Arabidopsis thaliana: one gene and its partners. The protein of the gene in region 1 purifies or fractionates together with the protein of each later gene. This does not show direct contact. Each region holds a gene or a part of one and is shown in the gene's direction. Other genes may lie near its edges. The genes, in order: AT5G65620, GSA2 and IMD1.

Region 1 (3,753 bases):
GGTCGCTAGAGCTGAATTTGATTTGAGGGAGATGGAAAGAGACAAGGTTAATGATTTTGTGGTTAATGGCAAGATTAACAAGTTAATTAAGTTATTATCAAATAGAGGTTCGTAGCGATGGAGGAAGAGAGACAGATAAGCTTTTAAGTAGACAAGATTCTGATGCATAAAGATGTACAACTTGTTCTTGGAAGATATGCTATGAGACTCTTTTAGTGATGTCCTCATATTTCTTTGCCTTAATCCCTTTTTCTAAACCGTCAAAAGATTCATGGTTTGGAAACTTGCAATAGCCTCTGGTTGGTTGGTTGGTTGTTTCAAACGTTACACTCACAAATATAACACAATTTAAAAACTAAACAACGGTCAAGAAAAGAGGGTTTATTTTAAGAGTCCATTCAACAGATCACTAGCACTGAACTTTGTTTAAATATTCTTTTAAATCTATGTGGACCTCCCTGTTTTAGGATCCCATATAGTAACTTTACGAGAGCATAACGTAGACGAACCAACACTAACCACAAGTATAAGAGCATTGTTCGATTCAATTACGCCTATTTGGTACCAGAGATGTTAAAGTGCAACATGGAAACATGATTGAATTTTTCTCAAGCTAAGAAGGTCTAAACAAATGCTAAAAGAAAACGAAACCAACAAAACTGTAGAGTGTAGAAAAAAACATAGGGTACACATGTTATAAACCAAAACTATTGGGGTATATACTTAAATAAATAAAAGTACACGATAGGGAACATTTGTAATACACAGAACTTAGGGGTGCATACAAAAATAAAATTGAAAAAACAGAGCATAGATCAGTGATCCGGACTCTGTTTTGGAAGATCTCTAAAAAGCTTAGGATCATCATCGGCATCGCGCAGATAGAAACCATCATCGAAATTCTGCGAATAGCTCACAGCATCGTAGTGAAACGTAACTAACGTTTTCGATTTATTATTCTCCAATCCGCAACTTCTAACCAATAATAATCTTCTCATCAAATCCCTTAACTTCGGACTAGGTCTTGTCTTGTTGTTGTGGTTACTGATTCGAGCGTACTCTGTTTCTTCTGTATGGATGAGACAAGATAACGGCGAACTCAAGCATCGACCGGTGGAGTACGATTGTCTACGGTTGTCGGCGAGAACTCTATCCATTTCTTGCAAAAATAAAAGAGAGATTGTTTTATTGATTGAGTGAGAAATATGGGGTTTATAATCGACGAAAGAGTTAGAGCTAACAATAAATGAATTACCAAGCAAAGTTGGAAAATAATGTAGATTTTGGCTGGTTATGGTTAAGCGGTCCAATCATAATTCTCGTTTTTTCTTTGGCAGCTCATAATTTCTCATTTATGGGAAGCATTCATTTATTGAAACTTGGAAGTTTTCACTAGTCATTAGTCAACATTTTTTGGTTGTAATGTACCTACCTATCTTCATTTGGTAGTAAAATTGTGGTACAATGTCAATGTGAAGTTATTAGTTTTAACTCCTGTTTGGTTTCATCAAATGATATAAATTTCATTGTTTCTTTTGTTTTTAAAAGAAGCGTAAAGTTAAAACATATTTGGTTTAGTGAACAAGGGATCAGACTTGCCAGATTACGTGGTCGTAGTATTTGGGGAACAACACACAGAGCTACTTCACTATCACACTATATCTTGAACGTGTCGTGTTTGTTCTTGGGATGCTCTCTTCGAACAAGTTATTTATTATGTATCCGTGACTCGTGAACTTGTGAGGCCCATTACTTCATAACAGTTTTCGGTAAAAGAAAAAGGACGAAAAAGAAGAGTTAAAAAACGCTAGAAGGAGGGGTCGAACCTCCGACCTTGTGGTTAACAGCCACACGCTCTAACCAACTGAGCTATTCCAGCTTTTGTTAACTATTTCAAAAACAATAAATATATTCGTAAACAGATGTTTTAATTTCAATTTGACTTGACAAGATTACCCTTTGGCACATCGATTAACATATCATCGACTTTGGAACCTCACAACATAATCGCATGTAGTCACACTTAGTCAAATCCAAACCCAAAAAATCTCAAAGAAAATAAGAAAAAATAAAAATAAAAATGAAGAGAATAAGAATAATGGCAACGCTTGTAATAGCAAACATGTTAATGGCGACTCCAACGTCTCGAGCCTCTCTCAATCTTCTTCGTCGATCGCCAAAACCCAAATATTTCTCATCTTCTTCTTGTCATTTTCGTCCCTCAACTTTTCGTAAATCATATCCTTGCCCCATCTGGTCTTCTTCTTTCTCTTTTTGTCTCCCTCCTCCTAGATCCACCACTTCCACCTCTCTCTCCTCCTCCTCTTTCCGCCCCTTCTCCTCTCCTCCGTCCATGTCTTCCGCCGCCGCTGCCGCCGTGGAATCCGTCGTCTCCGACGAGACTCTTTCCTCGAATCCTCTCTTGCAGGACTTCGATTTCCCTCCGTTTGATTCCGTTGATGCCAGTCATGTTCGTCCTGGGATTCGTGCTCTATTGCAGCATCTCGTATGTTCACACCTTCTTCTTCGTTTTTCTTCACAGATTCATGTATTTTTGATTCGATTGTTATAGCCTCTTTGATTGATTTTCAGGAAGCTGAATTGGAGGAGCTAGAGAAATCTGTGGAGCCAACATGGCCAAAACTGGTGGAACCATTAGAGAAAATCGTTGATCGGTTAACTGTTGTTTGGGGAATGATCAATCACCTTAAGGCTGTCAAGGACACACCTGAGCTACGTGCTGCCATCGAAGACGTTCAGGTTGAATAACTAATCATGCTTGTTTTTTGTGTGTTAGTTCAGTGAGTTGGGGGATTTATATCTTGTTTTACTTAACTACATTGGTCTTATGCAGCCAGAGAAAGTGAAGTTCCAGCTCAGGTTGGGGCAAAGCAAGCCTATTTACAATGCCTTTAAAGCTATTCGTGAATCTCCTGATTGGTCATCGCTCAGTGAAGCTCGTCAACGCTTAGTAGAAGGCAAGTAGTTTCTTATTGGAACATTAAAACAACGTTTCTTTCATGTGATAACTTTGGTTTCAGTATGAATTTCAGCTCAAATAAAGGAGGCGGTTCTCATTGGTATTGCTCTTGATGATGAAAAGAGAGAAGAGTTTAATAAAATTGAACAGGTTTGATGTAAATCAGTTTACTTGGTAAATTGGTTCTATGTTTGTCACAACTTTGCTTATGCTTACGCGCTGTTTTTTTCTTGATTGTAGGAACTCGAAAAACTTTCCCATAAGTTTTCTGAGAATGTTTTGGATGCAACAAAGAAATTTGAAAAGTTGATAACAGACAAGAAAGAGATCGAGGGATTGCCTCCATCTGCTCTTGGGCTATTCGCACAAGCAGCTGTCTCCAAGGTATCAATATTAACTGAAAGATATATAAAGTTCCATGTTTCGTTATTTTTTTAGTAAGGTTTGTTAATTTTTGCTTCTTGATATGTGACACTAGGGCCATGAAAATGCAACTGCTGAGAATGGACCATGGATCATTACACTGGATGCTCCTAGTTATCTTCCTGTCATGCAACATGCTAAAAACCGTGCTCTGCGTGAGGAAGTCTACCGTGCTTACCTATCTCGTGCCTCTTCTGGCGATTTGGATAATACGGCAATTATTGACCAGATTTTGAAGCTTCGCTTGGAAAAAGCTAAGCTTCTTGGTTACAACAATTACGCTGAGGTAGAGTCATCAACCTAAGTAAAACTGTTCTTTTTTCTTTCTAATTGGCTTAATGCGACTTTCT
Region 2 (3,753 bases), on another chromosome or scaffold:
GTTTATTGCAGAGACAAAGGAACGTCGTTTTGTTTGTTGAAACAAATTTAAACCCTAAATCCCCAAATCGATTTATTATCTGCGATTTTGAGGTCAAGGTGGGTCTGTGATTTTGAGATAATGAAATCGATTTGGGGATTTAGGGTTTAAATTTGTTTCAAGACAAAACGACGATGTTTTGTCTCTGCAATAAACGACGTTGTTTTGTTCTAACAGAGCAAATAAACGAGACATTAACGCCGTAAATTTTTTCTGTTAACCTATTTAACGACATGACTCAAATGGCAAGTCAACAAACACTTTGTCATTTATTTCGAAAGTCAACAAAAACTTTACGATTTATTTATCTTCCGTGAAGTTCAAAATTAAATCGTCCCAAATTTGAAAGACATTTTTCCCGAATATCATTTATGAATTATGATACAATGTTACTAAAAAAATCATTTTTATGTCTCATGCATGTAGTAACGAACACACACTAATATAGTAACAAATGATCAGACGTTACTCTTAAAAACTAGAGTGGTCATCATGTTCAAACTTTAAGGTACATTAGACCATCTAATTAGAACCATGCGTAATTAGTATTGTTAAGTAACCAAAAGAAATAACGACGATCAATAGTAAGTTTTTTTTTTTTGTGTGTGTAACCAATAGGTAGTACTTAAGTTAAATGTATATTATTTCATTCCTATTTCTTTAAATTGGTATCGATTCATTCTAAAATGTTGCATGGATTTTTTTTAACATCTTTAGATAAAGTTTTATGTTCCGTTTTTTTTTTCAGGTGACAAATTTCAAATGTGGGGGTTTTGTCCTAGGACTAGGCATGAGCCACAACATGTTCGATGGAGTCGCCGCTGCGGAGTTCCTCAACTCGTGGTGCGAGATGGCCAAGGGTCTTCCTTTATCCGTCCCACCATTCTTGGACCGTACGATTCTCCGGTCACGAAACCCTCCCAAAATCGAGTTCCCACACAATGAATTCGACGAAATTGAAGATATTTCCGACACCGGAAAAATCTACGATGAAGAAAAACTCATCTACAAATCATTTCTTTTCGAACCCGAAAAGCTTGAGAAGCTCAAGATCATGGCGATTGAAGAAAATAACAATAATAAGGTATCAACATTTCAAGCCTTAACCGGGTTTCTTTGGAAATCAAGATGCGAAGCTCTACGGTTTAAACCGGACCAACGGGTTAAGCTTCTGTTTGCGGCGGATGGACGGTCAAGATTCATCCCACGTCTCCCGCAAGGATATTGCGGGAACGGGATTGTGTTAACCGGTTTGGTGACATCATCGGGAGAATTAGTTGGGAACCCTCTTTCTCACTCGGTGGGTTTGGTCAAGAGACTGGTGGAGCTGGTTACGGACGGCTTCATGCGGTCGGCTATGGACTACTTCGAGGTGAACCGGACACGGCCGAGTATGAACGCGACACTTTTGATTACATCCTGGTCAAAATTGACATTGCATAAACTGGATTTCGGTTGGGGAGAACCGGTTTTCTCTGGACCGGTTGGTTTACCAGGGAGGGAAGTGATCTTGTTCTTACCAAGTGGTGATGATATGAAGAGTATCAATGTGTTTCTTGGCCTTCCTACTTCAGCTATGGAAGTGTTTGAAGAGCTTATGAAGATCTGAAAAAGAACATACATTTTCATAATCAAATTATGATATATTCTACCAAATTATAAGCAAAGGAAAATTATAATCTAGTCATTATTTATACATGTTATATTTGAATTCACGTTTGTATCCATTACAAAAATTTATGTAATTCGCAGAAAATATATATATGTCAAATTAAGTTATCGGACCGGATCGGGTCAAAGAAACCGGATTGGTTAACAAAGTCAAACAAACAAATATTGACTTGAGTTTCAGATTCCAGTAAAATCAAACCGGATCGGGTCTGAATTTAAACCACCGGGTCGGCTCCATCTAAAATCTGAAGATCATCTCCGCCTTATCTTGTTGACTATCTCTGTACTACTTACGAGCGCAAGTGAGAGAGTAACAGAGAAACGTAGAGATATAGCAAAATGGCTGCGACGCTTACTGGATCAGGGATTGCTCTAGGGTTTTCGTGCTCCGCAAAGTTCTCTAAGAGAGCTTCTTCGTCGTCCAACCGTCGCTGCATCAAGATGTCGGTTTCGGTAGAGGAGAAGACGAAGAAATTCACTCTTCAGAAATCTGAGGAAGCTTTCAATGCTGCGAAGGTTAGGCTTTTCAATTTCCATGAATTCAGTCAATAAGAAATGTTTCTTCAGATTGATTACGCCTTGATGTTCTGTTGCTTTGGTTTTGTGGGATTTGATCATATTTTTGGTTAAAGTGATTATCTTTGTTACCCTTCAAGGAACATTGCTAACAAAATAAGATTACTTGAGATAGAATCATAATCTGAGATAAAGTTTTTGTTTTTATTGGTTTCATTCTGTTCTGATTATTGAAATTGGTTTGGTTCCTTTGTGTAGAACTTAATGCCTGGAGGTGTGAACTCACCTGTACGTGCTTTCAAATCTGTTGGTGGACAACCAGTGGTGATGGATTCTGCAAAGGGCTCACGAATAAGAGACATTGATGGAAATGAATACATTGACTATGTTGGATCTTGGGGACCTGCTATAATTGGTCATGCTGATGATGAGGTTTGTTTCTTTCCAGTTTTGATGATTTTTAGATAGCTGAAAGTTTAGTAGTTGATACGGTGATGTGTCTAGTGCAGGTTCTTGCTGCTTTGGCTGAGACAATGAAGAAAGGAACAAGCTTTGGTGCTCCTTGTCTCTTAGAGAATGTTCTTGCTGAGATGGTGATTTCAGCTGTTCCAAGTATTGAAATGGTTCGGTTTGTTAACTCCGGTACAGAGGCATGTATGGGTGTGCTACGTCTTGCTCGTGCCTTCACAGGGAAACAAAAGTTCATCAAGTTTGAAGGTTGTTATCATGGTCATGCAAACTCTTTCCTTGTCAAAGCAGGTAGTGGTGTAGCTACTTTGGGTCTACCTGACTCGCCTGGGGTCCCCAAAGCAGCTACTTCAGATACTTTAACAGCTCCATACAATGATATTGCTGCTGTTGAGAAGCTTTTTGAGGCAAACAAAGGAGAGATTGCTGCCATCATTCTTGAACCTGTTGTTGGTAACTCGGGTTTTATTACACCTAAACCAGAGTTCATTGAGGGAATACGCCGGATCACTAAAGACAATGGTGCTCTTCTTATTTTCGATGAAGTCATGACTGGTTTTCGTTTAGCCTATGGTGGAGCTCAAGAATACTTTGGAATCACACCTGACTTAACAACTCTTGGGAAAATCATCGGTGGTGGTCTTCCTGTGGGAGCATACGGTGGAAGAAGAGACATCATGGAAATGGTAAAGCTAGAGTTGTTAACAATTGAACCGAATAATCTTTTGAATTTGCTGCAAGAGATTGAGAAAGTCCTGATCCTTTATCACTCATGTCTTTTTGCAGGTTGCACCCGCAGGACCGATGTATCAAGCTGGTACGCTAAGTGGTAATCCGTTGGCTATGACAGCGGGTATACACACGCTGAAGCGGTTAAGTCAGCCAGGGACATATGAATACTTAGACAAGATCACAAAAGAGCTTACAAATGGGATACTAGAAGCCGGGAAGAAAACCGGGCATGCGATGTGTGGCGGTTACATAAGCGGGATGTTCGGTTTCTTCTTCACGGAAGGACCCGTCTATGATTTCTCGGATGCAAAGAAGAGTGATACAGAG
Region 3 (3,753 bases), about 22 Mb from region 1:
AGTCCTCTGCGGTGGCTGTCCGGCAAGCCTGCCGAAGGTTCCACGAGCTTCAAGGGTCTTGAGGGAAAGAGCGAAGAAGATTAAGACAGATAAGGCTAAACCGATTGAAACGGACGGAACCATAACCGAACCGGCCATTGAGATATATATAGGGGTTATCACGTACGTTTATAGGAAAGTGAAAATGGTTTTATATAGAGAGAAGGGGTGACGGATAAGATAATAGAAAATGGAATTATTAGCTATTTATAAAAATGCAAAACCACGTTAGCAACTATGGATAGACAAAAACTTATTTAGAAAAAAAAACAATTTATGGTGTGTAAACATAAATTAAGAATTGAATCATGCACAAAAAATAAGACAAGCATTTATGAATAGTTTCTAGAAGTGGTGAATCATCCACTGCTATCGTCGATACAACATTTACTAAAGTTTCTATATATAAGTGGAGGGATGATCAGTGTGACCATGCCATGATTTCTAACTTTTTTGAGAGAGCGAGGTTATTATGATAAACATTTAAAATAATACGTGGAACTGAGATGAATGGAAAATAATCTTTATAAAAGAGAAAAAAAAAAATAGAAGATCTCATGATAATAAAAGTACTTCCATATGTTTTCAATGTGAAGAAAAGAATAGTAAAGGAGATACATCCAATAGCTTAGTCTAGAAAAGAGCTGACTAATTTTTTTTAAAAACAAGATCTCTGGTTTGTATATTTGTATCGATTACACAGCCTAGATATATAAAACACAAAACTTGATGGAGACAATTTCATATCCTATATATACACATTAATTTAATGAGTGAATAGTAATAGCAACTAGCAAGGCAATCTAAACAAAATTAAGAAAAGAAAAATGTTAAATTCCTGAGATCTATAATAACTCATAAGCAAAAAATATATTTAAAAAAATCATACAAATGTTGTAATAATATCATTTTGTTTTAATGTGGAGTGATAAAAAGAAGATAGGACGAAAGAAGAAACTGTTAAAGGCGATTGTAGATGCTGTAGGGACGGATAAATGGACTATGACATCAGTTTCCGTTACTTGTTTCTTCTCGAACTCAAAGAAGAAAGAAAAAAAAAAAAAAAATTCTACATCGGTACGCTTTCGTTTCACACCCTGCATGCACACAGTGTCCGGTAGTCAAAAATACAAAAAAAAGAAAAAAAACCTCGAGACATGCTAAATTTGGATAATGATTAATAATTTGGGGGTACACAATGTTCCAAATAATTTATATACAAAGTCTTGCTTTCATATTATTTGTGTGTCCACACTTCAACAATATAGTATTATACTATTATCCCTATCCCCTATGAAGTATGAACACACTTTTTATGATACGTATCATATTCAGAAAACATCAAAAATTGGTCATAACTCTCACGTGGTGTGGTGGATTTGCCTCGCCTTTCGTTTCTGTTTTTTGCAAATATTTAAGAATCTTTGGTCATTTAGGCTTTAATTTAGTTACTTTAAATTTATTTTTGTTATAGAAGTATTATGTTAAAAACAGTTCGTGTTCATCCTTGGACTAACCAGACGATTTGACAAAATCCGAATATCCGATCATAAAATTAAATAATCAGCCGTTATTGTTCCTCTACTACTACGTTTTAACTTTTAAGAACTTCTCCTGGTACTTTGATGGGCTATAAGAGCGGCCCAATATTTCGACTTTAAAATGGGCCAATCTTTGGTAAAGGCCCAATTATAGTGGCGCTTCTTCTTCTTCTTTTCCTAAACAAGCAATGGCATGGTTTAGCTGGTGAGCCAGTTTATAGGTAAAAAGGATAATTTAAGCCATTTAAAAAAACAAATCTTTAATGGCGTAATTCAAAAAACGTGCACACCTATCTAAGTACCAAACTCTTTATGTTATATAACTATTGTGACACAATTTCAAATTTGCTAACTCCCAAAAAAAATGGCGGCGTTTTTGCAAACGAACATCAGTCTGAATGCGATCAAGATCGTCCCGGGGAAATACAGTTCTCTCACCGATCATCAGTTTCGTGCGCCGTATCGAATTAGGTGCGCCGCCGCTTCACCTGGGAAAAAACGGTATAACATCGCTCTGCTTCCCGGAGACGGTATCGGTCCAGAAGTTATCTCTGTTGCTAAGAATGTGCTTCAGAAAGCTGGATCTCTCGAAGGTTCTTTCTCTTTCTCAATGGTTTTTGGAAACAACGAGTGTGTTTGCTTAGCCAGTAGATGATTGTGTCTTTGCTTTTGTATCACAGGACTGGAGTTTGATTTCAAGGAGATGCCTGTCGGAGGAGCAGCCTTGGATTTGGTTGGAGTTCCATTGCCGGAGGAAACTTTCACGGCTGCAAAACTATCTGATGCCATTCTTCTTGGAGCTATTGGAGGGTATGTGTGTGAGTGCTGTTTCTTTAGCAATCTGCTTCCAAATTTATTCTGATCTTGAGGTTTGGATGATTATTGTTCAGGTACAAATGGGACAAGAATGAGAAACATCTGAGACCTGAGATGGCTCTGTTTTACCTTAGAAGAGATCTCAAAGTCTTTGCTAATTTGAGACCTGCTACAGTTTTGCCACAGGTATCTTCGGTTTTGATTTGCTTAGCACTTGAATTTTGCTTCTAGTTGTAAATAAACTCAAATGTTTCTGTTTTGCTTGTTCAGCTAGTTGATGCTTCCACACTGAAGAAAGAAGTAGCAGAAGGTGTTGATATGATGATTGTTAGGGAGCTCACAGGAGGTATTTACTTTGGAGAGCCAAGAGGCATTACGATCAATGAAAATGGCGAAGAAGTCGGCGTTAGTACAGAGATCTACGCTGCTCACGAGGTAATAACCCTTCACACTGTGCTCTGTGACAATATTGGCAATGTATGGATATTAATGCATTGATTTATGTTCTTCAGATTGACAGAATTGCTCGTGTAGCATTCGAGACTGCTAGGAAAAGGCGTGGCAAACTTTGTTCTGTTGACAAAGCCAATGTGTTGGATGTACGTTCTGTTAGTTCACTGAATTGTTTTTCCACTTTTGTGTGTTTTACGAAATGCAAATTTCTTTGTTTCATGTAGGCATCAATATTGTGGAGGAAAAGAGTAACAGCTTTAGCCTCTGAATATCCAGATGTTGAACTATCACATATGTATGTCGATAATGCTGCAATGCAGCTTATTCGTGACCCGAAACAGGTGCTTCTCGCACATATATCAAACTTAGTCGTTGATTAAGCTAACTCAGAAGTGGAACTAGTACTCACGGTGTTTTTAAAACAATGCAGTTTGACACAATCGTTACCAATAACATTTTTGGTGATATATTGTCTGATGAAGCTTCAATGATCACTGGAAGCATTGGAATGCTTCCATCTGCTAGTCTCGGTGAATCGGTAAACAAAATTAACTAACATCTTTCAAGGCTCCTCCTGTTTATAAACTAATGCGAAATGTTAAACTTGTGATGAAATCAGGGACCTGGACTCTTTGAACCTATACATGGTTCAGCACCAGATATAGCTGGACAAGACAAGGCAAACCCATTGGCCACCATTCTCAGCGCGGCGATGCTTCTGAAGTATGGACTTGGAGAAGAAAAGGCTGCAAAGAGGATTGAAGACGCTGTCGTGGATGCTCTGAACAAAGGGTTCAGAACCGGAGACATCTACTCCCCTGGAAATGTATGTGCATGATGATTCTTATCATTTGTTTTGTACAAGTTCGTAACAAAATACTTAAAAAAGTCTTTTGTGTTTTGA

Evidence for each region.
Region 2: the proteins of AT5G65620 (region 1) and GSA2 fractionate together in Arabidopsis thaliana (co-fractionation; one large-scale study listed by BioGRID). This does not show direct contact.
Region 3: the proteins of AT5G65620 (region 1) and IMD1 fractionate together in Arabidopsis thaliana (co-fractionation; one large-scale study listed by BioGRID). This does not show direct contact.

What each region holds. Positions count from the first base shown.
Region 1 is NC_003076.8:26,219,829-26,223,581, forward strand, and holds the start of AT5G65620 (Zincin-like metalloproteases family protein), read left to right. Parts: upstream 1-2,000; 5' UTR 2,001-2,080; coding exon 2,081-2,506; intron 2,507-2,592; coding exon 2,593-2,760; intron 2,761-2,854; coding exon 2,855-2,978; intron 2,979-3,053; coding exon 3,054-3,130; intron 3,131-3,220; coding exon 3,221-3,364; intron 3,365-3,458; coding exon 3,459-3,689; intron 3,690-3,753. Other genes in the region: AT5G65610 (uncharacterized protein), read left to right, coding at 1-107, 468-524, 769-933, 1,022-1,200; AT5G65613 (uncharacterized protein), read right to left, coding at 816-1,157. UniProt on the Arabidopsis thaliana protein: Oligopeptidase degrading short peptides from 8 to 23 amino acid residues. Plays a role in the degradation of transit peptides and of peptides derived from other proteolytic events. Does not exhibit a strict cleavage pattern. Binds salicylic acid.
Region 2 is NC_003074.8:18,047,648-18,051,400, forward strand, and holds the start of GSA2 (glutamate-1-semialdehyde 2,1-aminomutase 2), read left to right. Parts: upstream 1-1,923; 5' UTR 1,924-2,049; coding exon 2,050-2,226; intron 2,227-2,484; coding exon 2,485-2,658; intron 2,659-2,735; coding exon 2,736-3,380; intron 3,381-3,480; coding exon 3,481-3,753. Other genes in the region: DCF (HXXXD-type acyl-transferase family protein), read left to right, coding at 788-1,648. UniProt on the Arabidopsis thaliana protein: Transaminase converting glutamate 1-semialdehyde (GSA) to 5-aminolevulinate (ALA). Involved in the biosynthesis of tetrapyrroles.
Region 3 is NC_003076.8:4,574,276-4,578,028, forward strand, and holds the start of IMD1 (isopropylmalate dehydrogenase 1), read left to right. Parts: upstream 1-1,847; 5' UTR 1,848-1,944; coding exon 1,945-2,173; intron 2,174-2,260; coding exon 2,261-2,390; intron 2,391-2,470; coding exon 2,471-2,582; intron 2,583-2,666; coding exon 2,667-2,831; intron 2,832-2,908; coding exon 2,909-2,995; intron 2,996-3,073; coding exon 3,074-3,190; coding exon of another isoform or gene 3,191-3,192; intron 3,193-3,279; coding exon 3,280-3,387; intron 3,388-3,468; coding exon 3,469-3,675; coding exon of another isoform or gene 3,676-3,687; exon of another isoform or gene 3,688-3,753. Other genes in the region: MPL1 (Myzus persicae-induced lipase 1), read right to left, coding at 1-138. UniProt on the Arabidopsis thaliana protein: Involved in both glucosinolate and leucine biosynthesis; catalyzes the oxidative decarboxylation step in both leucine biosynthesis (primary metabolism) and methionine chain elongation of glucosinolates (specialized metabolism).